Stegostoma tigrinum: one gene and its partners. The protein of the gene in region 1 purifies or fractionates together with the protein of each later gene. This does not show direct contact. Links are inferred from orthologs where the notes say so. Each region holds a gene or a part of one and is shown in the gene's direction. Other genes may lie near its edges.

Region 1 (7,725 bases):
GAACCTTATGGACATGCCAATTTCCTGAGTCACCAGAGGAAATTGAAGCGTTGTTGTGCCTTCTTGACTGTCTCATCTATGTGGGAAGTCCAGGACAGGTCTGTCAATTATTGTCACTCCAAGGAACTTGATGCTGTAAGCCCACTCAACGTCACTTCCATTGATGTAGATGGGGACATGTTCCCCTCCCTTCTTTCTGAAGACAATGATGAGTTCTTTAGTTTTGCAGATGTTGAGAGACAGATTGTTTTCATTGCACCACATCCCCAAGCCTTCTACCTCCCATCTGTATTTTGACTGGTTGGGAATTTCGCCACACCTTTGTAGGTGCACAGGGAGTACAGTAGGGGGTTGAGGACACACTCTTGGCGTGGCTGCAGTGTTGAGTGTTATTGTGTAGGATATGCCGTTACCTATCCTCACTGATTGCACCCTGTGGGTCAGAAAGCTGAGGAACAAGTTGCAGAGGGTGGGGCCGAGACCAAGGTCACTCAGTTTTGAGATCGGTCTGGAGGAGATAATGGTGTTGAAGGCAGAACTGCAGTCAGCAAGCAGGAGTCTGACATAGGTGTCTCTGTTGTCCAGGTGTTCCGTGGATGAGTGCAGGGCTAGGGATATGGAATCCTCTGTGGATCTTATGTTGGCAGGCAAACCGTAGGGGATCGAGGCAGGCTGGAAGACTGGAGTTGATTGGGCCGTGACCAGCCTCTCGAAGCACTTCATGATTATTTAAGTTAGAGCCACTGGGCAGTAGTCATTAAGGCACACTGCAAGTGTTTTCTTGGGTATGAGGATGATGGTAGTCTTCTTGAAGAAAGTGGGGACTTCGGCTTGTAGGAGGGAAAGGTTGAAAAGATGTTGGTGAATACCTCAAAATCGGTGGTACAGTGGACAGCAAAAAAGGTTACCTCCAAGTACAATGGGATCTTGATCAAATGGGTCAATGAGCCAAGGAGTGGCAGAAGGAGTTTAATTTAGGTAAATGTGAGGTGTTGCATTTTGAAAAAGCACATGAGGTCGGGATTTATACGCTCAGTGGTAAGGTCCTGCGGAGTGCTGTTGAACAAAGAGACCTTGGAGTACAGGTTCATAGTTCCTTGAAAATAGAGCTGAAGGTAGACAGAGTAGTGAAGAAGACATTTGGTATGCTTGCCCTTAATGGTCATTGAGTATTAGAATTAGGAGGTCATGTTGCAGTTTTACAGGAGATTGGTTTGGCTACTTTTGGAATACCATGTGCAATTCCGGTCTCCCTGCTATAGGAAAAATGTTGTGCAACTTGAAAGGGTTAAGCAAGATTTATAAGGATGTTATCAGGGTTGAAGAGCTTGAGCTTTACAGAGAGGCTGAATAGGCTGGGGCTATTTTCCCTGGAGCATTGGAGGCTGAGGGTTGACCTTCTAGAAGTTTATAAAATCATGAGAGGCATGGATAGGGTGAATAGGCAAGGTACTTTTCCCAGAGCCAGGGAGTCAAAAACAATTTAAGCATTGGTATAATATGAGAGTGGAAAGATTTAAAAGGATCTAAGGGGCAACTTTTTCATTCAGAGGTTGGTAGGTATGTGGAATGAGCTGCCAGAGGAAGTGGTAGAGGCTGGTACAATGACAACATTTAAAAGACATCTGGATGGGTACATGGATGGGTAGGAGGGGTTAGAGGGATATGAGCCCAAGTACTGGCAAATGGGATTAGATGAATTTAGGTTATCTAGTTGGCATGGATGAGTTGGACTGAAGGGTCTGTTTCCATGCTGTACAGCTCTGTGCCTATGATGCTCTGTCATAGGAGAAGAAATTGAACTACTAAGACATGAGCAGAATTTGACACAGTCCAAATTGGAGAGGCTTTAACTGTGTCCCACATTTAGATATTTGAAAATGAAGAATTGGAATCCCTTGTAAAAGAGACAATTTTGATGAGATTTGACAGCCTACAATGTTTCCAACATCTGGGTGGAATCTGACTTGACTGCATCAGTTGCTTATAGTGCAATCCATGAGGTACTCAACTACTGTTTCTCCGTTAACTGATGCATTTGTTAATCTTGAATGCTGGCGTCTAAATTTAAATATGATGCAAAATAATTATCTTACCTTTTTATTGTACCTATTTTAGTTATTATCGCTTAGGTTAGTTTTGTTCAACTTTGTATAATGAACATTTTTTGGTGTTTCAGTTCAATCCTGGTATCCTGCTGCTTTCTTTTGTGCTTTTTTTTCTGATATCATTCTGTTTTTTTTACAAGATGTTGGCCAATGAAGCCAAATCACAATAACAACAAGTTTGTCCAGGATTCTCATAACAGGGACCATAACAATAGTCAATAGTAACCCTAATGTATTGCCATTTTCCTTTCTACTAAATGCCAGTTGGAGAATCTCACTTCTCCTTTCAGTTATCTCTAAGTGTAACCCTCCAAAAATATTGAAACATGAAACCTAACAGAAGATTGACATACTTATGAAAGCTGAACTTGATATCACCAAATGTTCTTACTGTGCACAGTTATATTTACAACAAATGCTTCCAGTTTTCTCATGCCCCTATATGCTATTCTTAAATCTAACCTATGCTTCCTGTTATAGAAAGTGTGTAAATGGTGAGTGAAGACTGAATTAGGATGAGGATTAAAACATATGTTACACCAAAAATAAACTGCTTTGTGTGTTTAAGTGGGTTTGTAATATGTCTTATTCTTTTTTATGGTAAATATATATTTACAATTTAATATTTATAATTTAAAACATAACTTATTCAGAGTGGTGAATTAAAGTGATTTATTTTGGCTCCTTGGATTTCTGTGGTGTGGTCCACAGTCATGAAGACGAAAACAAATTATCGACTCCCTACAGTGCAGAAAGAGGCCATCCAGCCATTAAATCACCACCAACCCTCTGAAGAGTATCTCACCCCATCCTCACAATCCTGCATTCACCATGGCTGACCACCTGACCTGCATATCTCTGGACACTACAGGCCAATTTAGCATGGCCAATCCACTTCAGCTGCATATCTTTGGACTGTGGGAGAAACCCCATGCAGACTCTGGGAGAACATTCAAACTCCACATGGACAGTCACCCAAGGCTGGAATCAAACCTGAATCCCTGGCACAGTGAGGCAGCAGTGTTAATCACTGAGCCAATGTGTCACCCTATTTGTTTCCTAATCTGCACTAAATTAATTTCCCAATAATCAATTTGTTGGAATTGTTCCAGTGCCTGAGAGAAGAACCTTGTCCATTATGACCAAGTAATGGAAGTTGTATAAAGATAAAATATCATGTTCTAATCACCAAAAGTACAGTTTGTGCATATTGGTTAGATCTGTTGTTGTGCTTTGGCAGTGCCAGAATTCTGAAGGGAGGAATACTGTAAACAGTTGTATGAAAAATAAATGTAAGTGTTATATACACATTCAAGGACGTTGGAGAATGAATGGACAATATTTTACCTAAATGGGAAGAGGGTGAGTGGATATTGAGGATGCTGATAATGAAGTGGGGTGTGTGCAGATACTGACAGTACAGCAGACAGTGTGCAAATATTGTGGATAAGAACAGTGCATTGAAGACTGTGTGCAGATGTTGAGATATTGATAGTTCAGTAGGGTCTGTGCAGATATTGGCAGTGTATTGGGGAGTGTGCAGAAATTGAGGTCATTGACAGTGTAGTGGGGGCTGTCCAGATATTGACAGTTGACAGTGCATTGGAGAGAATGCATTTATTAAGGATATTGACAATGCATTGGGGGAGTGCACAGAAATTGAGTACGTCAATGGTGTAGAGGGAATAATGCAAATATTGACAATTGACAGTGCATCAGGAAGTATGCATATATTGAGGATATTCACTGCGGTGGGGAGTGTGCAGAAATTGAGGACACTGACAGTACAGTGGGGAATGTATAAATTGAGGATATTGAAAGTGCACTGGAGTGTATGCATGTGTTGGGAATATTGACACTGCAGCAGGCAGTGTGCACATATTGAGGATATTGTCAGTGCAGTGGTGAATATGCAGATATTGAGATTTTGATAGTGTGCAGGGAATGTACAGATATTGAGGACATTGACAGCATTTTGGGGATTGTGCAGGAATTGACAATATTGACACCAGTGGGGAGTATGTGCATGTTGTGGATATTGACAATGCAGTGGGGAGTGTGTATATATTGAGGATATTGAAAGTGCATTGGGGAATGTTCAGGTATTAAGAATATTGAGCCTGCAGCAGGGAGTGTGCCGATGTTGAGCATATTGACAGTGCAGTGGTGCAGATATTGAGATTTTGGCAGTGTGGGGGTGGGGGAGTGTACATTTATTGAGGGCATTAACAATGTATTCGGGAATATACAGACATTGATAATGCCATGGGGAGTGTGCAGATATTGATAGTGCAGTGGGGAATATGCAGAAATTGAGGATATTAATACTGCTGCACTATTAATATCAATATTGATAGTGCGTTGCGAAGTGTACAGATGCTGACAGTGCCCTGATCAATGTGCAGATATTAAGGGTATTGATAGTGCAGTGGGGAGAGTATATATTGAGGATATTGAAAGTGCACTGGGGAGTGTACAGATAGTGAAGACATTGACGATCAGTGGGGTATGTGCAGGTAGTAAGGGAATTGACAGTGCAGGGGTGGTATGCAGACATTGAGGGTATTGACAGTCGTGCGGGAGGAGGGGAGAGAATCTACTGGAGCACCACTTCCGCATTGCAAGGCCCATACTTGGGCAAGCTGCAGCTTCGGACGCTGATTGGTTGAGCGCGGGTTGTTTGCGTGACCCGGATGATCGCTCGGGCCCGACGAAGAAACCGTCCGCGAGAGTGCCGCCGCCAACCGTCACCACCGCCATCGCCATGGTGAGTATCGCCTGGTCCCGGGGCAAGCCCTATCTATTCATAGCCCCACTTCCCGACACAGGACCCTCTTTTCAGCTGGTCCTCGCATGGAGGACGCCGCGAGTTAGATCCGGCTAGCCAACGGGGTGAGGTAGAGAGGAGACACGGGGCGGGAGGACTGCTCGGCCCGACCCGGCCCTGTGTCTGCATCGCCGCTCACCTCCCGGTAACGGTTCCTAAATCCAGCTGCCCTTCAGTTTATCTTGTTGATTCCTTGGGGTAGCGATCAACTATCCTCTCTCTCCACATCGCGCCTTGCTGTAAAGTGGAGGCAAACTTCCTGCCAAATACTGTTCCTCATTCAGACCAGACCAGATCTGACTGACGGAGGGAGGGAAGATCAACTGTGAGCTTTTGGTCTTCTGGACTGTCACAACCTCAACCTGCGCCAGTGTCCTAGTTGGGATAGTCCATTCAAGTCTTGTGTTGCAATTTTTTTTGGTGTTATGATCCTCTGACCATTCAACGGACGTTCACTGAAGGCAGTTGGATTCCTTTTTGATGTCAGATTGTTGTGAATTCAGGGTTCCCCAATTGTGCATCTTAAAGGAAATGCGGTCCAACGCAGGACAAAGTTATTGAGCGCCCTTGCATTGAAATTGTAAGCTATTAAATGGAGTTTAGATGGATGCTACTCCACAGTGGTGAAAATTGAGTGATTAACAAAATAAATTTTCAGACCCAGAGATTAGTTTACAACTGGTTACAGTAGAAGATCATACTTTTTTGGGTTTTCCTTAAACCAAATCTATTTTCTAATATTTATTATTGTTCAATGAAAGATAATAGCACTTTCAAACTAACGCTTGTTGGTGGAATGATTAGTTTGAGAGTCAGATATGTATATATTTGAACACTTAAGCGATTTTAATTTTTCTATCTGTAATACTAAAAAGTACTTGGTGTCGTTTTGCCTCCTGGATTTATCTTCATTGGTGGCACATCAGAGGCATTTCACTGTAGAAATGAGGAAGTTATCTTTTGACAGATTGTGTTATTCATTTGTTGGGTTTAGACGAGGATTGTAATTTTCAAGATCTTGCATGATCTGTTTTCTGAACTGTTTGAATAGATTGCATTGGGAAAAGTTTTAATCCTTTATTCATTTATTTTAACCAATCTAATCTCAAAATATCAATTCGTGTCTCAATTTCTTGGTCTCAAGGTCTTTTTGTAGACCAAATGACTAATTGCTGCTCTGTATTTGCTGATGAGCCTTTTTATCAAGAAGTTGATTGTGAATTAGTCTCCAGATCTCAACTCAAACCAAGCTATGGCACTGTTTTATTTTATGTGACTTGAATACATGTCAGATTAGTCAATAACAAACTTCCATTTCTCTTAGCCTGGGTAACTGGCATGACCTCGTTCTCATTTCTGATGCTTCTAAAGAAATGCTGAAATCTTTGAATTCAGAAAATCCCTTGCTTTGTTTTATTGCTTTTGCATAGACTGATTGAAACTTGTTGTGCTTTTGATCCCCTTGTAACAGAAATATTCAAGCAATGATTGCGTAAAATGTGACATTTTCAGACCGTTTGCACTTTGAGTAGTAAAAATATAGATTCTGTTTTCTTTCAAACTTGGATTGTGTTGGAGGAATTTCAGAGTTTATGACACTTCTTTAATGTACTAGCTGTTATAAGTAGTTTTGTTGTGAGAGCAGTTTCATATGATAATCAAGGACTTGCACAGTATTGAAGTCTGCAGTGTTGTCTGAATATTGCATTTAAGTCTCATGACAGCATCTCTTTGAATAGATCCTTTAAGTTATTGATCTTGAGGCATATGAAATGTTTTTTGTTTTTATCATCACCTGATTGTACTTAACCTTGCTTTAAAAATGATGAATATGAACAAGCAATTTGCTTCTTTGCCTTTGAAAGTACCCCTCTGAAACCCTTCTTCAGGTGCGAGTTGACTTGGGAATAATCCTCCCTCTTGTTCCACCAACCTTTTGATGTGCAGAACCAAAGGATGTTGCATACATAGAGACTAAAATCAGTAACTCAGAGGGTCAAGGAAGAATAGATTGAAAGAAGGAACTTGCAATTTAATGCACCTTTCATTGCCATGGAATGTTCCAAAGTGATTTACTGTCAATGCATAACTTCTGAAAAACAGTTACTGTTATTGGCTGCCACATATTCTACATTATATGCATATACAAAGGCCCCACAAATATCAATGTGATTGCCATCAGAAATCTGATTTAGTAATGAGAATTGAGGATAAATACTAGCCTGGACACGAAGCATACTCTGTGTTCTGAGAGAATGTTGCATTGGATCTTCTACACCCATGCCAGAGACTTGTATGAACATGGTTTGACATCTCATCTGAAAATTCAGCAAACTTTATTAACTGGCACCAGTGGGACCAGGAGTCATAGAGTCATACAGCATGGGAGTGTGGCGATTGAGGAAATATTCCATATAATCAAGAGATATGCATACTGCATTAAACTCTGACCAAGTGAAGCTTCGAGACATCAATATGCCTCAAAAAAAACGATGTAAAAACATCAACAAACCTTCTAAACGCAGTGTAAAAACACGTAGTATGTAGCATAAATGTAATGTGAGGTATACGTACCGCTGTTATATGTTATTAAGAGCATAAATACTCAGACATCAATGTAGATTGCAGTATTTGAGGGTTGGTGGTTTATAAAGAGTGCTGGTAGATAAGGGGCCAGTTAAAACAAAGTTTGCTGTATGATACTGCATCAATATTACACTAGAGCCTCAACTGAGATTATGTTGTCAAATCTCTGAAAGGGGCTTGTACCCAAAGCCTTCGTTCCAGTGG
Region 2 (7,148 bases), on another chromosome or scaffold:
CAGGACTTTGGCTAGCGTAGAGTGCAAATATGCCCAGATAGGGAAAGAAGGACTGGCAGTCATAGTTGCAGTCAAAGTTTCACCAATTCCTTTATGGATGTAAATCTTTGCTCAGGACAATCACCCTTGCTCCCCATAACAAAACGCCATCTTCAATGATCTAAGATCTTTGGGTAAAAGAGCCACAAGCCCCTACACGGTCTCAATAAAGAGGACAAGGTAGTGCCACCCATAGCTTTAGGCCGCTTTCGGTGATGGGCTCTTTTTACCAAGTGTGTGCAATTTCAAGTTATAACACTGTCCAGGAGATTGATTCGTGAATACTGATGCATTGAGCCATCTCCTACTGGCAGATACACCACTGCTGATACCTCCAATGGAAAGTCTGTTATGGCATTAAATTTTCTGGAAACACTCCCAAAGTCACAGCTGACAATGTCAAACTTTGGATGTGGAAAGATCTAGTCCTGGCAAAACTGTAAGAACTGGTGGCAATGGGGGAATCCAAAGGGCCATCACAAGTAGAATTGAAATATGTATTTTACCCAAAGAGCTTAGGTCGTGGAAGATGGCATTTTGTTATGGGGAGAAAGGGTGATTGTCCTGAGCAAAGATTACTGTCCAATACTTGCTGAACTCTACTCGGGATATTCAGGGTCTCCAAAACGAAGATGTTGGTGAAATGTCTGGTGGCCAGACCTGTATACAGATATAACCATGTTGGTGGCCAGTGCCCAGAGTGTCAACAAGGACAAAAAGTAAAGCTAGCCGCTCCCCCTCATTCACGTTGCATTTCAACTCTGCAGGACCTTTCATGTTCTTAGTCCTTGTAGACAGCCACTCAAAATGGTTGGATGCATATAGGGTCCATTTGTCAAACAAGGGGGCAATGATAGAAAAACTACATGCATTTTTTTAATGCATGGAGGCCCAGAAATGTTGGCCACAGGTAATGGGCCATTGTTTACCAGCAGGGAATATAGGTACTTCCTAAAATTGAATGTGATTCGACATTTAATCGACCCATCATCCAATGGCCTGGCAGAAAGAGCAGGTTTTAAAAAAAGCCTACAACCTTGCTAGATTCCAACCTGTCACCTTTCTTATTTCAGTTTAGGACCACCCCACATGCAACTACAGGGATAGCACTGACAGACAAACAGGAGGCTGGAAGAATACAGCAGGCCAGGCAGCATCTGGAGGAAAGGAGCAGTCAATGCTTTGGGTATTACCCTAAGTCAGGACTGGATGTAGCAGTAGGGAGAGCTGCAGATAGAGGGAGGTATGGTAGTGATGGACACTAGTGGTATGTACGACCTGATTGGTCGATGGGAGGGATGAATCCGGTTGGTCGCTGGAAGGGACACTCAGGAGCTGGAATGGAAGGGAAGAGGTGGAGCTGGGATGGGAGGCAGGGGATGGCTGGCAAAATTATTTGAAATTGGAGAACTCAGTGTTGAGTCCTCTGGGCTATAGGGTGCCCAGGTGGAAGATAAGATGTCGTTCTTCAAATTTGCATTCCAGTTTGCTGCAATACTGGAGAAGGCCGAGGACAGTCGTGTAGGAGGTGGAGTGGGTCAGAGAGTTGAAATGGGCAGTGGCCGGGAGGTTAGGTTGGCCGCTCGGGGCCAGGTGGAGATAACCTGGTGCAGATCAAATCTGTCAGTGTAAGTCTGATCTTTCCAGACATGGGGGTGGGGGGGGGGGATGTGGAATAGTATCAAGAACGTTAGCGTTAGACACAAGACCCCACCAGGTGAGGCAGACAGTTTGATGCAGGAGACAAAGTTTGGTGTAAGGCTCACAGAAGTGGCCCTGCATGGATTGTAGGCATGATCAACACAAGGACAGGACTAGTGACATGTAAAATTTGGGCAGGCACAATAGTCTGACCAAGCACGTGGACTATATGAAATCCACCAATTCACAAACTGTGCTGGAGCAAAGTGTGCCCTACCCCTCAGAACAGACAGGAAGGCTGCTGGAACCTGTAGGTTCATCCTCTCCATCAAGCATTGACAATTCTCAGAATCAGAGATTGACAGGACAGATGTAACTGCCTTGATGCCTTTGCCTCTAAAAGAAAGTGAAATTCTACCAAGGCGTTCCTGGTGCAAGAGGCAAGCTCCTGTGCATTTCATGCTGCCCTTATCAGACACTGAGTTGGAGGAACCTGACCCAGTGCTAAAGTGCTCTAAGAGGCTCTCTAAGAATAAGAACTGGCCTATGTCCTTGGACTTAGATGGGGAGAGATGTAGTGATTGTAACAAGATCAGCTAGCTGGACCTCGTAGGACATGAGTTCCTTGATTTTGGCTGTTAATCTGGTCCAATCAGGGAGCCCTGGCTGACAGATATAAACAGAAATATCAGATTCTGGCACTGAGAGCTGATTCTAAAGAAGCAGAACTAAAGTCAAGGACTCTTCTTGTGTAAATAAAGAGTGACTTGGTGACAGGATACTGACCTCTGTGGAGTTATTTCAAATGTTGTCTTAAGCCTGTTAAGCTTATCTTTTCAGCTCCTCGGGATACACATACATCCTGGTGATGGGAGTTCTTGTGGCACACTAAGCCGGAAAGCATCAGATCAAGTCCCACCTGCTCCAGGAGTGTCTCATAACTGAGCAGGGTTATTAAAAATATTACATCCTTGAGATATCCAATGACCCCTATCTCACTACAATGTCCCATGGATCTTCATGTATAACTCTCAATCCTAGTAGAAATGTCACACAGTGACAGGCAGCTCTCAATCCTGTCAGAATGCACAAGATTCATGCGCAGCTTTTGGAGGTACACTGGATTGACAGGCAGCATATGATCCCTCCTTGAGTCAGGACATTTTTCACAAATGACAAATACCCCATTGACTTGTCATTTTGTTCCGGATGCATTGCTGAAAGGGAGGTTGTAACAAGAATTACTGTCTGTCTTAACTCCATTTATCCTCTTTCATCTCAGGCTTGGGATGAAAGAGGCAGTCATGTTTGGCTTCTTTAGCAAATTTCAGATTTCAAGATTTCAGATTTTCCAAGACTCTTTGTGACAAAGTGTTTTCTGATGTCATTCTAGCTCCTAGGTTCCTGATGTCTAAAATAATGAGGGGAGTAGATGGAGTTAATGGTAGTTGTCTTTTCCTTAAATTGGGAGATTTCAAGACTAGAGGTCATATTTTTAGATAAGAGAAGAGAGCGTGGTTTGTGTGGAATGAACATCCTGAGGAAGTGGTGGATGTGGGAACAATTACAATGTTTAAAAGATATTCGGATAAGTACATGAATAGTAATGGTTGGGGAGGCATATGGGCCAGGAGCAGGCAGGCGAGACTAGTTTAGTTTGAGATTAAGTTTAGCATGGACTGGTATGACTGAAGGGTCTGTTTCCGTGGTGTGACTCTATGACTGTATTGTGATTCCTCTTTGAAAGTGTTATGTACAAATGAGCGAAGGACATGATTGAGTTCTGTTGTGGTATGACCAGAACTAACAGGACTGTACTATGACCTCTATTACAAGATCGTCAATTTAGACAAATGCTGGATGTTGGTGAGTCAATGTGGATCTATAACCCAGCATGAAATTGTGCTTTTAAGAAGAAAGAAGGAGAAAAATCTGGAACAGACTGTGAGAAAGTTTCTGTATAACCTCCAACAAAATCAATTGCATTCACAAATGACAGCAGCCTAACCGGTTCTCCAAGATGCAGCAACATTTTAGCAACTATATATTAAGTTGCCGTTTAAGCAAGTTTGAAATCAACCATCTGGTTTCCAGTGATAAAGACCAGCATTGATCTTTAGGTGTAAAGGTATCTGCACTAATACACATGGCGCAGCTGGTGATGAGGCTTGGTTCGAATAGTTCTAACAATAAATTCGGTGTGAGCAAAACAGCTTAGTTATCTGACACCTCATCTGGTGCCTCAATGGCTCCATTTATACCTTGCAGCATTTAATGCGGAACTTAGTAGCTGAACTCAAAATGCAGGCAGGTAAGATCAAACATAGCCATTTATCTCTGTTTATGTATCGAGTATTCTGGTATAGATCATAGCATTCACTGTTTAAATTACTAGTGGTGGAATGTGCTGCTTATTTCAACACAAATGCAAAGTAGAATACAGTCAAGAAAAAAAACAATGATTACCTAACTATAGTTTTGTTACTTTTAAGTCAGCTGATCTACAGTCAACTTTAGGTGTAGAATAAATATATTTTTACATGACAGATTGCAGTATAGTTGTTTGTTCTTCATAATGGCAATGGGAAGCCAAATAAAATAGGAAGGAAATGACAATATTTTTCAGGTAAAGTGAAAATGTTTTATTTATGACAGATTTGTGCTAATATAAACATGTTTTAAATAATAGCAGTTTGTGGAAGTAATTTGTCATTGCCAATATCCACATTTTTCATAAATGAGTTGAAAGGCAATTGGAATTGCAAAGCTACGTGTTCAGTATTCTCTCTTTATTCCATGCTGTTTTATAGGGCTGTATTGCAGTTACTGATCTTCATGGTAGAACTGCATTTATTAATAATTCAGTGCAAGCTGGTTAATTGCTAATGATTTCAAAAAGTGGGAGGAGGAAGATAGATGCATTCCATTTGTGATACATTTAAATGAATAGAATAAACTAATCCTTAGAAAATATCATGACAAGGCCTTCCCATTGGTTTTATTTATCCAGTTTTGCTTAATCTGAGGTGTAATCAGGCAATTAAACTTAGAGTTTATTGCCATGCTGAAACCATAGCTAACAATATGCCAAAGTCCTGCCTCCTACCCAACTTTCTCTGAGCCATTTGCTAATGCCATAACCAATCTTTAGCAAAGAAAGTCCTTTTTGAAATGATTATATATTTTTAAGCTGATATGACATTATCCCAGTAGTAAACTTCGATAGTAGTAAACCATTCATCATTTAATACTGTACCCGTTGTACCTAGTTGCCATTTCCTTACCCTGGCCTCCCCTTCGTCAGACACCTGTTTTGGATTGTTGGCATGGTTACTGATGATTTAGTTTGTTTTTCGGAATGATCAGGTTCATCTCCTCATTGCTTGGCTTTTTCTGCCTATTGTAAATTTGTCCAGCACGTTGAGATGGTACTTCAGGGTTCACAAGAGTGGTACAAAACTAACGTACGATATTGTTACTGCAAAACGGGACGTGCTGGATTGTTTTGTTGTAAAGCAAGTTGTTCCTTCCATTCTACTCCCCAAAGCAATAAAAAGGGCTGAAAAAATTAGTTGATGCAAAATGCACTGGGGCAGTGAAATAGTTACTTTTTAGTTTTTTTTTAAATGTGGCAGAAAAAATGCCAGAAAGGCCAACATTTGATGTCCATCCATTAATGTCTTTGAGAAGGCATTTTGAAGTGCTGCTGTCCGCTTGGTGTAGGCATATCCAAAAGGATGCTATGGTGTAAATTTCAGTATTTCACCCAGTGTCAGTGAAGGAATAATGATATATTTCCAAGTCAGGATGGTGAGTGTCTTGGATGAAAATTTGCAGCTGGTTGTGTTCCCATATATTTGCCTCCCTTGTGCTTCCAGATGACAGATGTGCTATGATGAAGAAGGAAGCTATTTGGCCCATTGTGCCTACACTGGCTTGTTAAATGAGCACAATTACTTAGTGCCAATCTCCAGCATTTTCCTCAAACCATTGCACATTACTTTTAACCAAATAATCACACAATGCTTCGTCATGGCCTCAATTGAACATGCCCGTACCATACTTCTAGACAGTGCATTCTATACCATAACTACTCACTGAGTATGAAAGCTTTTCCAGGGTTTATTCTTCTTTTGCAGATGATTTTAAATCTGTTAGAGATCAGGGTTTGACTGTTGCTGGTGAGTTGCTGCAGCACATCTTGTAGATGATATTTACTGCTGCCACAGTGCTTCACTGAGGAAGGAAGTGAATGTTTATGGTGGCAGCAGGGGTGTTGATTAACTTTGACTTTGCTTTACCTTGAATAGTGTAGGTCTGCTTGACTATTGGTGGAGTCACACCCATCTAGGCAAGGGAAGAGGATTCCTCACACCCCTGAATTTTCCCTTTTCGATGTTGGACAAGGTTTTTGGGAGACGGATGTTGTCTCCAGAATTCTCAGTCTCTGACCTGCTCTTGTGGAAACGGTTATATGGCTGGCCCACTTCATTTCCTGGTCAATGATATTGCTGAGTATGTCAGTGAAGGATTCAGCAGTAATAATATTATTCAGTGTCGAGGGTAAATGATAAGATTGTTGAAAATGTATTCTACACTCACTTTGAACAGAAGGTCAGTGAAATGATGTCACCTATTCCAAGAGCCTCAGGTGCACCTGTACGCATGGTCACTCTGCAGGTGTTAGGTTCACGCTCAAGAAGGCTGATTTATGGAAATCAACTGGCCTAGATGGAGTCCCTGGCCAAGCACTCAGATCCTGTGTGGACTAGCTCACGGGAATATTTGTAGACATCTTTAACCTCTCTTTACTATGACTTGAAGCCCCCACCTGCTTCAAGTAGACCACTATCATCCCAGTGCCAAAGAGAAATCATGCAGTGTGCCTCCAATTTCTACCACCCGATGGCTGTGACCTCTAATGATGAGGTGCTTGAAGAGGTTAGTCTGGCTCGCACCAACTCCAGCATATTAGATTTCCCTGATCCTTTAATTCACCTCCCAATACAATAGGTCCATGGCAGATGCCATCTTCCTTGCCCTCCAATCATCCCTGGAACATCTGGATAGCCAGGATCCCTGTGTCAGGCTCCCACTTATTGATTACATCTCCAGCTTCAACACCATAATTCCAACCAAACTAAAATCCAAACTCAGACCTAGGTCTCTGCTACACCCCTCAGGAACTGGATCCTTGACTTCTGACCCATAGACAAAAATCAGTGAGAATAAGCAACAACACCGCCTCCACCATAATCCTCAACACTGGTGCCCTGCAAAGCTGCTACTATACTCCTTATATGCTCACAACTGTGTGGCCTGATTCCACCCCAACTCCGTTTACAAGCTCGCTGATGATACCACCATTGTAGGTCAGATCTTAAGCAACAATGAGACAGGATACAGGAAACAAGTTGAGTGCTTAGTGGAATGATGTAAAAACAACAATCTCTCTATCAAAATGAAGG
Region 3 (8,205 bases), on another chromosome or scaffold:
AGTGGGGCTTGAACACAGTCAGTTGCTCACTTAGCTGGATGGGGTCAAGGGATCTACATCATTACCTACTGGGGAATGAGCCATGGTCAGTCATGCAGGTCCAGTGCAACCAGTCTGGCATTTTGTGGTGAGTCTATCAGGCAACTGCTTAGAAATTTATTAAGTGTCTGGGCTATCAGTCAGGGCTATCCTTCCAAGCTAGTTGGGGTGGATACCACATTCATTCTCTTGTAGCTGAAGTTACAATAACAGTTGATGATATAAAGTAGCAATACATTTCTGAACATGAGCTTCTATTTCCAATGATGACAGTAAAAACATAAGAAATAAGAACACAAATAGGCTATTTGACCACTGGAGCCTATCCCACCATTCAATAGCATCATGGTTGATCTGACGCTCCTCACGCCCACCTTCCTGCGCTTTCCCTATAACCCTTGATTACCGTACTGATCAAGAATCTATCTCAGCCTCAAATATACATAAGGAAGGTTCACCCATGTCACCCTATGTGCCCTCAGAGCTGTCTTTTTTTTTGTTTCCCTCCCAATATGTGTGTACTATTCATGGGGTGAGCTACTGACCTTGTGCAGCTGGGCTTTAAATACTCTACCCACGAAAGAAGTCCTGGAAATTCCTGGCTATGGTGAGGACCTCTGCCACTGCGAAGTGCACAATAGCAAAAGCAAGATACCATAAAGGAGTGGTGGACACATGATGAGATGAACAGCAAGGAACTGTGCCAGATAACCACTAGAGCTCAGAGAGAAACCCTCTACAAAAATCCCTCAGTGATACTTAGCCAATGTTTGGTTAAATTCATCCGTTTGATTCTCCTTTTCAAAGAAACTTATTTTACCTTCTGAATTGAATTCTGGGCTTTTCTAGACGAAAAGTTTGATCATTCTGTTCTGAAGTCAAAACTAAACTAAATTACCTTAACTTGCTTCCTCTGCCTGTCATAAACCTAAGAGCGTAAATACTTTATCAATTAATACCACGGGTGTTTGTCAGGCATTTGCTGAAGTTGTAGACCTTCTTCAAAATGATGCAGTTAATCACTGTTAAAAGCCGCCTATTTCACCTTTTAAGAAAAACAATCCTTAACAGAACTGACCCACAGCCATCTGCCTAAATTTTCAAATCCAAACTTCAAAAATGTAATATATAATACAGCTTTCCTCATACATTCCGCAAAAGTGAAAATGCAAAGGTATCCTTAAGAGGCAATAGCATCTTTTTCAAACATAACGTTGCTCTTAACACCATTTCTGTGGTACATCATCTGTAACAATTTATTTATAATGAATACGCACCAATATTCCTAATAACCATATTCTACGCAAGTTCATTTTGATCATGACATTGTTTCATTCATATTTGCTCTAGAAAAGCACCTGCTATAATATTGAATGATTTCTAAAATTATACGGTTGTAGTATTAAACTGTAATGAAACAGTCTTAAATTCTCATCTGAAAACTCTCCAAACATCTGAAGACAGGCCATTGTATAAATAATAGTCTCTTCAAAGTTATTAAACAAGTGAATTTCGAACTTTTGCAGAGTCAAAAGACATTTCTCTATTATCAATTATTTCTGCTGATAATTACTCAATTTCTCAAAATAACTGACTGGTTATTTCACCTCCATTTTGTCCTCCTTTTGGTAAAATAGCACTTACCAGCAATAAAATTGGCATTAACAGCCAGAGCTTGTCATTGTGGTGCCCCCTGTCTTCCTGCTACCCTATCTATGCTCCTCATAATTTTAAACATCTCAACATGTCCACTCCCCCTACACCACCTCTCTAAGTAAAACAACCCTAGCCTATCCAATCTCCCTTCATTAAAAAACCCAGTCCAGGCAACATCTTGGTAAATCTCCTGTGCATCTGCTCCAGCGCAATCATATCCATCCTCTAATGTGGATATCAGACCTGCACACAATACTCTAGCTGTGGCCTATTCAACATTTTGTACAGTCCCAGAATCACCTCCCAGGTCCTTAAATCTATGCATTGGCTAATAAAGGCAAGTATCCCAAATGATTTCTTAACTTCTTTATCTCCCTGTTCCACTACGCTGAGAGGCTGCAGGCTCTGCACACTAAAGTCCCACTGATTGTCAGTGCTTCTGTCCCAATGATCATCAAGTACATCACCACACACTTATCTGGATTGAATTCACTTTCCACTGATCACCCCCTCCGACCAGCCTATCCACATCCTCCTGTAATCTATGGCTATCCTCCTCACTATTTACTAACCCAACAATTTTTGTATTAGCCAAGAAAGTACTGATCAACTCTGGTACCTTCAGGTCTAAACCATTTATAGGTACCATAAATAGCAAGGGCTCAAACACTGATCCCTACAGGACCCAACTGGACACAGACTCCCAGTCACAAAAATAGCTCTTAACCATCACTATCTGCTTCCTGTCACTCAGCCAATTCTGTACCCAATTTGCCAAATTTCCTTGGATCCCACAGGCTCTCACATTTGCTATTAGTCTCCCACACTGGACATTATCAAAAGCTTTGCTGTTAAGCAGACTACATCAAATGCACGGACCTCACCTACACATCTGGAGACCACTTTGAAATATTCAATTAGTCAGACCTGACCACCCCTTAATAAAACCTTGCTGACTATTTGATTAATCCCTGCTTTAAAAAAAAGAAAACAAAAGGAAGATTTAGAACAGAATATTACAGCACTGATTTTGCACTGGCTGTTTCAAATGGCTTCAGCGATAGAAGGAACTGCAGATGCTGGAGAATCTGAGATAACAAGGTGGAGAGCTGGATGAACATGGCAGGCTAAGCAGCATCAGAGAAGCAGGAAGGGTGACGTTTTGGGCCTAGACCCTTCTTCAGGAATGATTTCTGAAGAAGGGTTTAGGCCCAAAACGTCAGCCTTCCTACTCCTCTGATGCTGCTTGGCCCACTGTGTTCATCCAGCTCTACACCATGTTGTTTCAAATGGCTAACTAATTTCATTCCACACTCCTTCTGATGCTGAAAATTAATCCTCTTCCAAGCGTAAATCCAATTGCCATTTAAAGTTCCTGTGGAGTCTGCTTTCAGCATTCATGGTTTTGCAGACTATTAGGGAATGCACGTGAAAAAAAAAGGCCATTGAGATACTTGTGGACAACCAACACCAAATTAGGTTGCTAGACTTACTTTATTGGATCTCTCATAATTCTGAATATCATATCAGGTTTCCTTTAATTTTGCCTGGTCTAAGGATAAAAATGTCAGTTTCTGCAATTGCTCCAAATAACTGTAGTCCCTCAACTCTGTTACCATCTTCATCAATCTCCTTGCAGCCCCTCCGACGACTGGAAATCTTTCTAAAATGTAACGTCCAGAACAACGCACAAAAGCTGCAGCTTAGGCTAAAGATTTGTAAATGTTACATGATTTCCTTGATGTTGCATGTTTATGTATTTAATGGCACTAATTAAAATGTCAGGCTGGTGTTGCAACATGAGCATCTCTTATGGAACAGTGATAATGCCCCTACTTCTGAGCCAGGAGGTCCAGGTTCAAGTCCCATCTGCTCCAGATGTGTGTGATATCACCTCTGAACAGGTTTGTTAGAAAATACCTACAATCTAAGTCATTGTACTATCATGTAAAAGAAACCAGATTGGGAAGTTAAAATCTTATTATTTTTGTAATCAGATTTTGGGTTAGCAGGCTATTCTAATTTTGTTCTTGGCCTTTTAACACTTACTTGAAACTCAAGTTTCAATTACAGTTTTGCAGTCATTGTCTATATCTATAATTCGATGGATATTTGCAAGTACCTAAATTTACTATTATTTGGATCTGATAATAAATAGTACTAGAGGCAGAAGCTGCTCATCTGTGCATCAATTATTGATATTTCACTCAAGCTGGCTGGTCTTTGCAGCATACTGCATGTATGGAATTGTACAAATTGTACAAAATGATAGATTTAATTTTGGTTAATATTGAAGCTTATTCAAATTAATCATTTATAATTGGCTACTTGCTAAATACACTTTATTGTGACAGTATCATACAGTATCTCCACGTTAAAGTGACTGTTAGCTTTACATCCGTCATTGTCAATATCATTTTCAAAATTGATACAAAAACTTCCAAAATAGTAGGCAACTGTTATCATATGAAATAAAAATAGATGTTAAGATATTCTACAGATATTTTAAGTGGCAAACAATGACAGGCAATACAATATAGGTTTATTTAAGACCCTGGTTATGTTAAATATTATACTTACAATTCATGAAATCATCACAATTCCTCCATTACTGCTTTGTTTCTAGATGCAGCTCCCTGTGACATGATATTAATTAAATCAAGAATCAAAATAAGATTGCAGTTGGACAATAGATAAATGATCTCACCAATATAAATAAATTTCAAAGATTAACACCAATGCAGTTACACAAGCCTGACAGATGCAATTACTAAAAGATGCAAAAGAATTTCTATGCTGAGAAATTTGGAGGAAACCCCTTCTTAAAATTTAAAATTTCTACATTTTATACAAAGTATAAAAAGAGTTTCACCAAAAGGCAAATTTACTGCATAAAGACGACAGGGAGAAACCGATTGCTTCCCCCCTCACTCGTATTTTGTCTCGGTTAAAAGTTCTACGCCATTCACATATTATTTGGAACTGGCGAAAATAGTGCAAGACAGAAATAGGGTGAAATATACACATGGTTGATTTATCAATCCCAGCTACATTCATCATCAGCTCCAGGCCACACACAACTCTCTCCGTGTGAGTGTCTCTCTCAGCACGGTGTCGGGATTTTGAGGCTTTTTCTGGGGTCAAAACAAAATCTCAAGAGGAGCGAAAGATGCGTTAAAATAAAATAAACAACGAAGGCTTCAAACTAAACTGGAAAGAAAGCGAAAGCAGAACCCGATAATAAGAAATAGAAACGCTGCTTCCTTTACTCGCCTCCACCTGTTTATTTTCTGTTGTCATCCTTTCGCCTGCTTCCAGGGGAGGGGGGTAAAGGTCATAGGGTAAAGGGCAGCACCCAGCATCCCCGGTGCAATACACAGCCATCTTGGAGTTATTTTAGGAGATAATTCATGCGGTAAGTTTTAACGTTTTCTTTCTTTATTTCTCGCTCGGAGCCGCTAGAGCTCCGTCCCTTTGGCGTCGGCGACAACTTTTTCGATGAAAATGTTGCCGAGCGCGGTGGCGGGGAGTGCGGGCTGATCTAATGGGGCTTGGGCGGCTGCTGTGCCTTTTTTTTGTCTGGGCTCTGACTGAGTCTCCCTCTCCACTGCACCCCCCCCCCCTCTCTCTCTCTCTGGTTTAATCGAGTATCATTAAAAAAAAGCGGACAGGCCAACCCAAGCAGCGAGGAGCCGGGGAGCAGAGTAAGATCCCGACCCTTGCACGAACACATACACCTCAGGCACTGGGCCTTGCATCCGACTTTCGCCCTCCTCTTCACACTTTACATCATCATCCTCATCATCTTCATCGGGATACATTTTACACTACGAGACCCGAGCTGTGTGCCTGGCGTTTCCGCAGTTATAACTACAAATCCCCCATTGCTTCTTTGCTCAATTTCAGAAATTTGGTATAGTCGCGATATATCCGATCCTGGTTCAGTGCATTGCATTTTTTTAAGCCGTCAGCAAATGTTTACTTGTTTTCCTTTTGGATGCAACTTGTCTATTTTAAGTTGTTGGTGGAAGTTGTATTTATATTTTGTTTCAAACATAGTTTTGTTCCATGCTGACACCATTGTTTGCAGAAAGTTCCTTGAGTCCTCACAATATGAGACATGGCGATCATTTCAGAATTGTGTTGCACAGCTAAGGGAAAATGATTTTTTTTGTATAAAAATGTAGCTGGTGATTTGGATCTTGTAAGTGATGATAGCCACTGAAACAACAGCACGTCACAAACATCTCGCTTTTAAACAATTTATGATGGAAAGGGCTGAACATCTGGCTTTGTTGTTCAATTTTGTTATTCCAAATAATTTTTTGCTGTTATTAGTTTTTCCTGTTTGTAATGACTTTGGAAATATTAAATTGGACAAATATTGAATCAGACCAGATTATCACACTGGGAATCTAGCTTTCTAAATCTACGAGATTTTAAGTTCTCCAATTTTTTTTAAAGTTTATACAGTTACTTACCTTATTTTTCTAGATTATCAGAATTTTTCGAGGGATATGGATTGACACTTACAAATATAAATTGGATGTCAAACTATGTTTTTAACTACTTTTAGCATAGCGTAAATCCTTGGTTTAAAGAAGGAAGGGATAGATTTGTCTTTTTTAAATGATGAACAACTTGAAATAAACTTCAAATAAGATCTGAGATAGCAAGGTGTAGAGCTGGATGAACACAGCAGGCCAAGCAGCATCAGAGGAGCAGGAAAGCCGACGTTTTGGGTCGAGACCCATCTTCAGAAATAAGATCTTACAGCTTTGCAGATATGTTAACAGTTACAAATTTTAAATAAGCATTAATGGTATCAAGGCAGTGGTTATAGACTTGGTGGTGTATGTCTATGTGATTTAAAATTGTAGTATTTGTGCATCAGCAGCACTGATGCTAACTTCTGTTGCTGATTTTGCCAAAACAAATAGAACTTCTATAATTTCCATATTCACCTTTATGCTCAAGTATTTTGATAGCGCTGGACAATGTGGTATTTTCTTAATCAGAAAGAACATTTTCAAAGTTGTATGGATGCATATACTATCTGTAATCCAAAAAATTGTAATATTGATACAGTAAGTAGACATTTCCATATTAGAGCTGCAGTACTGTGGGACTGTTGGGTGGATGTTTTGCCATCTATTTTCTATTTCACAGTTTTGAGACTACCAGTTGTGTGAGCATGCTTGCCTACTTGTCCTTACCTTTATATAGCTTTTACTTGTTTATTGGGGGCACTGCTACAACAATAATTGCATTTTTATGGCTGAAGCGTTTCAGTTAAGTGTTTTAATGTTCTTAGTCTTGTTTTTCTCCTCTCCAGAAAATGTGAGGTTGCCCAAAACTAGTGAACTGTTGCTAATGGCTCATTGAATCAGCTGAAGAAATGCCACCCTGTTGACCACTGGTTGTCAGTAGGATTTCAGCAAAGCTGTACAGATTATGGATTTGTGAGCGTGTTGAATTTTGCGCATGTAATTTGGAAAACACCCAGCGCAACTGTTAGGTTTTGTCCTTTCAAGTGTGGGTTACATCTGGAGAGAACAAATTGAGATTGTCCAATTGGATCTGCACCACTGTTAGAGTTTAGAAAGGTCGATTACTGGTGGCGGTGATGCTGAGACAGATTTTTAGTGAGTGATTAAGGATATTGCATTTTGTTTTAAAAGGGTATTATCACAAGTATTTTTCCTGAATTATATTGCTGATGCATTAGATAATGAAGCCCTAAAGGTTATTGAAGCTTTCAGCAAAATGTTAGACAAGTTGACAGAGTATTCTGTGATCCTGAATCAGGGAGAAAACAAATAATTTGATCTTTAACAAATGACCAGAGGAAAAATTCTTTGATTCTGCAAGATTCCTAACCACTTCATTGGAATGATTGAGACATGTGATGTGAAGAGGCTACATTGAGAACCACTTACTCCTGTTTCATTGAATAGAATTGAAGAATGGAATACATTCTCAATGACTTTGGTGTTATGTTAAAGGATATACTATTGGCATAGAGCAGAGTTTGTTAACAGACTAATGCATAGTATGCTTGATTTTTAAAAATCAAAAATTTTGATTGCTTCCATAGTAATAATTCATTTGAGAATAACTGGTAAGATGTTTTATTTTTTCACTGTGACACTTTGTTTTAAAGCGCAGAATGGCATCTTCATCCTTATTCTTGCTCAAATATTGTAGACCAACCCAAAGCCCTACCAGTTTTTCATGACTTAAGATGTACTTTCGTGGCAAGTGATTGACTTGGAATCACTAGAATCTGAATTAACCAACTTCACTTCTCCTTGGAAAGGTTTGAATAAGCATTCATATAATGTTGCAGATGTAGTTGACATATCATTATACAAGTTACAATGGGAAATGTAATTCTGCACTGCATTTGGCTAAAAATGTTGAAAAATTCTTGGTGAATGTTCTTCTTTGGAATTGCTAATATTGTCCTCAGTTTTTAGTTCTTCCTAGATACGCTGATTCTGACAGTAG
Region 4 (7,643 bases), on another chromosome or scaffold:
ATAGGTTTAAGGTGAGAACGGAAAGATTTGAAAAGGACCTAAGGGGCAACATTTTCACACAGAGGGTGGTACATATGCAGAATGAGCTGCCAGAGGAAGGAGTGGAGGCTGGTACAATTGCAACATCTAAAATGCATCTGAAGAGGTATATGAATAGGAAGAGTTTAGAGGGATATGGGCCAAACAAGACTAGATTAATTTAGGATATCTGGTCGATGTGGACAAGTTTGACTAAATAGTCTGTTTCTGGGCTGTATATCTGTCCCTTCAATCTGTGGAAACTAGAGTCAAAGGTTGGTTTTATCGAATGGGGTAATAACAGCAGATTTAAAGCAGCGACGGCAAAACAACTTAAGAGACTGGAGTCACTTGTGCAGAGAAACGGATGCTGAAAGATTCTAGATGGGATTCATCCCGGATTCATGCGAGAAGGGCTAAAATTAAGAGGCTCTGCCCATGATCTTCCGATCCTTCGTTAGATATTGGTGTGTTAACGACCCAAACATTACATTCCTATTTAAAGAAGTCAAAACCTTCAGTAGAAATCAGTCAGCCTACTTTTGTTTGTGGGAATCATAATCCAGAACAGAACAAACACATGTCCACCCCTCTGTACAAATTATCATTTAGAAACACCAGTTTTCTAGACTTTTTTGAGTAGACTGGAGTATTATTTCAGTGCAATGTTTAGGAAGCAGAAACATTGAAGAAACAGTACTTACATAATTTAACTTTGCTTTAAAACTGCTTAAAGCTATAACACTGTTTTATGTTTCAGATAAGTCTTTATTTCCGAATGATTTCCTGTTCACACAGTTCTGTTTAGATATTCTGACATCATGTCACAATTATGAAAATTCTGGAATCCAGAAATGACTTGGTCTAATTCTTGACCAGCTCAACTGAATCTGCATTTGGACCGCTGTTCTCTCTGATATATTTTAATGGCTTAAATTCTTCTTCTAAAAAGTACTCCAACTTTGGTCTACAATTCACAAATAATTTGCAAACATCGTAACTAATGAGAAGTGTAACCAGAGACTTCAGGAGGACACTGATGAGACACTGAAATACACGAAAAATTAAGTGTGTTGGTAGGAAGAAAGATTGACTAAATGACAAATTTGAAGGGGAGGTCACACAGGAACAGACAGACATGTGCACAAATGTTCAGAGGCATCAGCCAAGTTCATGATTTTGCTTTAAAATTAACCAAACCCTGAAGCTTGCATTCAAAGTACGGCCATGAAAACTTTTACATCTGACCAATCAGCTATACAGTTCATCAGTCAAACATCTGATCACAAAACCATCATGAGCACTCCTGGTGCATAACTTGGAAGCTATAAGCTTCAAACTCTGAGTAAGACTGAACAAATGGCTCCCCCTTATCAACTCTGGAAGTTACTGTATGCAACATAAACCACTAAGTTTTCGAAACCCTCAACAATACAGACAGTAGGAAATAGGAAAACAGCAAAGTTTTGGAACACTCAATTAATTACAAAGGTGTACATTACAACAGCAGCTGTTCCAAAGACACTCTCATTAGGAGCTAAAAGCATATCCTGAGATTGTCAAAGAATATACAGAAATGAAAGTTTAAAAAAAAATCAGGCTGTTTGCCCTGAATGGTGTCAGGTTTCTTAAATATTATCAACCAGGCAAGTGGCGAGTATTCCATCACATTTTTAACTCGCGCCTTTTAGATGGTGGACAAGGTGTTGGGAGGACAAACGGTAAACATAGTAACTGCACAGACACACTGGAGGTCAATTTGCATTCTGGTCCCTTAGAAAGGGCATCATACCCAGTCCTGTGATCTCTACACATTTCCAAAACTGGTTTCAATGTTGGGGTACGAGGAGTCTTTTGGGAATGGAATTTGACATTTGTGGAAACGGTGTTAAGGATGGGAGGGTTAGGTATGGTGGAACAAGATAGGCTTTAGGCAGGACAGAATTAGAGAATGGTTACTATACTGGAAACAGCAGTGGCTCTTTTAAAAAAAAAACAGAAACAGAGACTGCAGTTTGGCAAATTCTGTGAGAAGCAGCAGAGTTAACACTTCAACTCCAGTGATTCTTCAACAGTAAAAGAATCATTCACTGAGTTCCACCTGGGAGCCTTTCCGCAATCTTGCAAATTTCTCTCTTCAGGTAATGATCCTGGTCTTTGCTTCAAAAGTCATGAATCCTTCTCTCTCTCACACACACACACACACACACACACACACACACACACACACACACACACACACACACACACACACACACACCACAACAGTTCTTCCTGTTCCACAACTTCGGTCTTGTGCTCTCTCTCTGTCCCCCAACCCGCCGCCTCCTACAGATACAGTTAAGCTCCATCTCTCTGGCCCCATCCTTGAAATGCAGTCCGCCTCTCTCAGTGCCTACCCCCTTGCCCAGACACAGGTATTTCTGCCCGCTCACTCTGGCTTCATCCTTGAGTGCAGTGCCCAAGACTCTCTTCACCGCCACCACGATACAGTCCTTTCCCCGACTCTCCCCTCAGGATGCAGTAGCACGCCCCACTCCTTTCCTGGGGGTGCAGTACTCCCTACTCTCAGCTCCCCACAGGTGCAGTGCCCTCTGCCTCTCCCCCCCATAGCCCCAGGCACATTACTTGGTCTGTCTCCCCACCGTGGGGTACAGTGTTCACCCTCTCTCCTCCCCCCCGACAACCCCCAAAGGGTGAGGTACTCTCTGTCTCTCCCGCAGGGGACTGCACCCTCTGTCTCCACACCCACTTCCCCCTAGGGGTCTGGTCCCCTCTGCCTGTCCCTCCCTACCGCCGGGGCGGGGCGGGGCGGGGCGGGGGGAGAGGTCTGGTCCCCTCTGCCTGTCCCTCCCTACCCCCGGGGCGGGGGGAGGTCTGGTCCCCTCTGCCTGTCCCTCCCTACCCCCGGGGCGGGGGGAGGTCTGGTCCCCTCTGCCTGTCCCTCCCTACCCCCGGGGCGGGGGGAGGTCTGGTCCCCTCTGCCTGTCCCTCCCTACCCCCGGGGCGGGGGGAGGTCTGGTCCCCTCTGCCTGTCCCTCCCTACCCCCGGGGCGGGGGGGGGGTCGGGGGGGGGAAGGTCTGGTCCCCTCTGCCTGTCCCTCCCTACCCCCGGGGCGGGGAGAGGTCTGGTCCCCTCTGCCTGTCCCTCCCTACCCCCGGGGCGGGGGGAGGTCTGGTCCCCTCTGCCTGTCCCTCCCTACCCCCGGGGCGGGGAGAGGTCTGGTCCCCTCTGCCTGTCCCTCCCTACCCCCGGGGCGGGGGGGGGGGGGAGAAGGTCTGGTCCCCTCTGCCTGTCCCTCCCTACCCCCGGGGCGGGGGGAGGTCTGGTCCCCTCTGCCTGTCCCTCCCTACCCCCGGGGCGGGGAGAGGTCTGGTCCCCTCTGCCTGTCCCTCCCTACCCCCGGGGCGGGGAGAGGTCTGGTCCCCTCTGCCTGTCCCTCCCTACCCCCGGGGCGGGGGGAGGTCTGGTCCCCTCTGCCTGTCCCTCCCTACCCCCGGGGCGGGGAGAGGTCTGGTCCCCTCTGCCTGTCCCTCCCTACCCCCGGGGCGGGGGGGGGGGGGGAAGGTCTGGTCCCCTCTGCCTGTCCCTCCCTACCCCCGGGGCGGGGGGAGGTCTGGTCCCCTCTGCCTGTCCCTCCCTACCCCCGGGGCGGGGGGAGGTCTGGTCCCCTCTGCCTGTCCCTCCCTACCCCCGGGGCGGGGGGGGGGAGAAGGTCTGGTCCCCTCTGCCTGTCCCTCCCTACCCCCGGGGCGGGGGGAGGTCTGGTCCCCTCTGCCTGTCCCTCCCTACCCCCGGGGCGGGGGAAGGTCTGGTCCCCTCTGCCTGTCCCTCCCTACCCCCGGGGCGGGGGGGAAGGTCTGGTCCCCTCTGCCTGTCCCTCCCTACCCCACGCCCCGGGGGGGGGGGGGGGGTGCGGTACACAGACACAGACACACTCCCGCGGGTGGGGTTACGGTACCTCTCGGGCCGTTCCCATAGAGACGGCGCCTCGCGCTCCGCTCCCGCCGCCGCCGCCGCCGCCGCGAGATGGCGGGACTGCCGCTCCCACAATGCCCCGGGGCGTGGAGTGCTCTCAGGCACAGAGCGCTCCTCTTCTCCCCGATCCTGTCCGGTACGGTCCGTCCGCCGAACACCCGCCCCGCTCTAAAACAACCGACTCTCCCCAAACCCCATCACCGCCTCGAATAAAAACATTAAAATGTTCTTCACCCCAACCGCCGCTCAAAATGGCGCGAAGGCAGCCTCCCAGCAAGCAGCGCGCAGCCTGAGGAAACACACCCGCAAAGTCTATCATTTTCTTTTTAAAAAAAATACCCTAATCGTCTGAAGCGCGCTTCGGGCACAATTCGTACGAAATAAACAAGGATAATTATCAACTTGTGTTTCAATGCCGCGGTCACGGGGTGAAAGGGCAAAGGTGAAGAGCGGAAATGCGTTCAAACCTATAATTCCGCGGAATGGTGCGAGGTGAAACTGGAGATTATTCTACACAAGAGAGTCGGATTGCGAAGGGTTTGAATGATTCTCCTGATGTAAATTCCTTTTCAAAATAAAAGACGTGTTTTGGGTAGAAGCGGTGACCAAGGGTCAGAGGTCAGGGTTCACCGGACACAGGAGCCGGGAGCCTCGGGCTCGTTGATGTGAAGTTTTTACCCGAAGAAGGGGCGGCGGCGGCGGCGGGGGAAGATGCACAGCCTGGGGGCAGGGGCGGTAAGTCCCGGTGGGGATGGGCGAGGTGGGGGCCTCTTCCCCGCGCCCCCCCCCCGGTTTAGGCCAGGGATGGGGGAGACAGCGACGCCCTCGCTGCGGGAGGCCCGGGCAGGGACTCGCCGAGTTTACCCGCACTCGGGCGGCGGGGGAGGCTGCAGGGAGCCTGCCCGGGGACCGCCTGAGGCCTCGGTGGGGCTTGAGGCCGAGCCTGTCGGATTTTGTGGTCACCAGGGAGGCGGGCGGGGAAGTGGAGCTATGATCAGACAACCCTAGAATTTCTACAGTGTGCAAGCAGGCCACTCTGCCCATCGAGGAGAGACTAGTCCTCACGTTCTCATTCTTCTCTCCCCCCCCCCCCCGGCATTCTTCTCTCCCCCCCCCCCCCCGGCATTCTTCTCTCCCCCCCCCCCCCCCCGGCATTCTTCTCTCCCCCCCCCCCCCCCCGGCATTCTTCTCTCCCCCCCCCCCCCCCGGCATTCTTCTCTCCCCCCCCCCCCGGCATTCTTCTCCCCCCCCCCCCCCGGCATTCTTCTCTCTCCCCCCCCCCCGGCATTCTTCTCTCCCCCCCCCCCCGGCATTCTTCTCTCCCCCCCCCCCCCCGGCATTCTTCTCTCTCCCCCCCCCCCCCCCCGGCATTCTTCTCTCTCCCCCCCCCCCGGCATTCTTCTCTCCCCCCCCCCCCCCGGCATTCTTCTCTCCCCCCCCCCCCCGGCATTCTTCTCTCCCCCCCCCCCCCCCGGCATTCTTCTCTCCCCCCCCCCCCCCCCCCGGCATTCTTCTCCCCCCCCCCCCGGCATTCTTCTCTCCCCCCCCCCCCCGGCATTCTTCTCTCTCCCCCCCCCCCCCCCCGGCATTCTTCTCTCTCCCCCCCCCCCCCCCCGGCATTCTTCTCTCTCTCCCCCCCCCCCCCCGGCATTTCTCTCCCCCCCCCCCCCCCGGCATTCTTCTCTCCTCCCCCCCCCCCCCCGGCATTCTTCTCTCCTCCCCCCCCCCCCCGGCATTCTTCTCCCCCCCCCGGCATTCTTCTCCCCCCCCCTCCCCCCCCCCGGCATTCTTCTCCCCCCCCTCCCCCCCCCCCGGCATTCTTCTCCCCCCCCCTCCACCCCCCCCCCCCGGCATTCTTCTCTTTCCCCCCCCCCCCCCCGGCATTCTTCTCTTTCCCCCCCCCCCCCCCGGCATTCTTCTCTTCTCCCCCCCCCCCCGGCATTCTTCTCTTTCCCCCCCCCCCGGCATTCTCCTCCCCCCCCCCCCCCCCGGCATTCTCCTCTTCCACCCATTCTCCCCCCACCCCCCGGCATTCTCCTCTTCCACCCACCCCCCCCCGGCATTCTCCTCTTCCACCCATTTCCCCGCCCGGCATTCTCCTCTTCCACCCATTTCCCCCCCCCCCCACCCACCCACCCCCCCCCCCCCCGGCATTCTCCTCCCCCACCCCCCCCCCCCCCGGCATTCTCCTCCCCCACCCCCCCCCCCCCGGCATTCTCCTCTTCCACCCATTCACCCCCCCCCGGCATTCTCCTCTTCCACCCATTTCCCCCCCCACCCACCCCCCCCGGCATTCTCCTCTTCCACCCATTCCCCTCCCGGCATTCTCCTCCCCCACCCCCCCCCCCCCCCCCGGCATTCTCCTCCCCCACCCACCCCCCCCCCCCCGGCATTCTCCTCCCCCACCCACCCCCCCCCCCCCGGCATTCTCCTCTCCCCCCCCCCCCCCCCCCGGCATTCTCCTCCCCCACCCCCCCCCCGGCATTCTCCTCTTCCACCCATTTCCCCCCCCACCCACCCCACCCCCCCCCCCGGCATTCTCCTCTTCCACCCATTCCCCCCCCCCCCCGGCATTCTCCTCTTCCACCCATTCCCCCCCCACCCCCCCCCCGGCATTTTCCCCTCCCCCCGGCATTCTCCTCTTCCACCCATTTCCCCCCCCCCCCCCCCGGCATTCTCCTCTTCCACCCATTCCCCCCCCCCGGCATTCTCCTCTTCCACCCATTTACCCCCCCACCCACCCACCCCCCCCGGCATTCTCCTCTTCCACCCATTTTCCCCACCCACCCACCCCCCCCCCCCCGGCATTCTCCTCTTCCACCCAATTCCCCCCCCCCCCCCGGCATTCTCCTCTTCTCTCCTCCCCCCACTACCCCCGCATTCTCACTCCCCTCCCCCCCCCCCGCCCACTACCCCCGCATTCTCTTCTCTTCCCCCCCCCCCCGACTAGTGGAACCACCTAGGCCTGCACACCTCTGGACAGTGCGTGCAATTTAGCACAGCCAGTCCACCCTAATCTGCACATCTTTGGACTGAGAGGAAACTGCAGTACCCAGAGGAAACCCAATGCAGACATGGGGGAGATAGTAACAACTGCTGATACTGGAGAATGAGAGAACACGGTGGGGAGCTGGAGGAACACAACAGGCCAGGCAGCATTAGCGGAGCAGGAAAGCGGGTGTTTCGGGTTGGGATTTTCTGAAGAAGAGTCCCCGTGCCATGTCACCTCAGGCTCTTGCATCAGTAATTCTTAGTATCTCTGAGTGAGTTATAACCCCACTATGAAGCCATTTCTGAAGAAGGGTCCTGACCTGAAACGTCAGCTTTCCTGCTCCTCTGATGCTGCCTGGCCTGCTGTGTTCCTCCAACTCTACACTTATTACAGACACAAGAAGAATGTGCAAACTCTACTCAGTTGCCTGAATCAAACCCATGTGTCTGTGCACTGTGAGGCAGCAGTGCTAAACACTGAGCCACCCCAATCTTGTGGAATGACAGAAGCTTGACCGAGAGACCAAATCGTCCCCCCTCTTGTCCCTGATCTTGGTTCTCAGTCGAGTTAAGACAGATATGTTGGTCTTGGAGGGAGAATGATGTAAGTTTATGAGAATTGTACCTGGACTTAAGGGTCAAGTTAAATGAGATT

Evidence for each region.
Region 2: the proteins of capzb (region 1) and cracd purify together in Homo sapiens (co-immunoprecipitation; 3 studies listed by BioGRID and IntAct, with this or other methods). This does not show direct contact. The link is inferred for Stegostoma tigrinum from reciprocal best matches to the Homo sapiens genes CAPZB and CRACD.
Region 3: the proteins of capzb (region 1) and cnot2 purify together in Homo sapiens (co-immunoprecipitation; 4 studies listed by BioGRID and IntAct, with this or other methods). This does not show direct contact. The link is inferred for Stegostoma tigrinum from reciprocal best matches to the Homo sapiens genes CAPZB and CNOT2.
Region 4: the proteins of capzb (region 1) and cnot9 purify together in Homo sapiens (co-immunoprecipitation; 3 studies listed by BioGRID and IntAct, with this or other methods). This does not show direct contact. The link is inferred for Stegostoma tigrinum from reciprocal best matches to the Homo sapiens genes CAPZB and CNOT9.

Annotation. Positions count from the first base shown.
Region 1 is NC_081381.1:30,770,508-30,778,232, forward strand, and holds the start of capzb (F-actin-capping protein subunit beta), read left to right. Parts: upstream 1-4,722; 5' UTR 4,723-4,872; coding exon 4,873-4,875; intron 4,876-7,725. UniProt on the Homo sapiens protein: F-actin-capping proteins bind in a Ca(2+)-independent manner to the fast growing ends of actin filaments (barbed end) thereby blocking the exchange of subunits at these ends.
Region 2 is NC_081354.1:109,541,771-109,548,918, forward strand, and holds the start of cracd (capping protein inhibiting regulator of actin dynamics), read left to right. Parts: upstream 1-3,946; 5' UTR 3,947-3,954; coding exon 3,955-3,991; intron 3,992-7,148. UniProt on the Homo sapiens protein: Involved in epithelial cell integrity by acting on the maintenance of the actin cytoskeleton. Positively regulates the actin polymerization, by inhibiting the interaction of actin-capping proteins with actin.
Region 3 is NC_081371.1:45,260,905-45,269,109, reverse strand, and holds the start of cnot2 (CCR4-NOT transcription complex subunit 2), read left to right. Parts: upstream 1-5,056; 5' UTR 5,057-5,110; intron 5,111-8,205. UniProt on the Homo sapiens protein: Component of the CCR4-NOT complex which is one of the major cellular mRNA deadenylases and is linked to various cellular processes including bulk mRNA degradation, miRNA-mediated repression, translational repression during translational initiation and general transcription regulation.
Region 4 is NC_081360.1:103,196,915-103,204,557, reverse strand, and holds the start of cnot9 (CCR4-NOT transcription complex subunit 9), read left to right. Parts: upstream 1-4,470; 5' UTR 4,471-4,708; coding exon 4,709-4,732; intron 4,733-7,643. UniProt on the Homo sapiens protein: Component of the CCR4-NOT complex which is one of the major cellular mRNA deadenylases and is linked to various cellular processes including bulk mRNA degradation, miRNA-mediated repression, translational repression during translational initiation and general transcription regulation.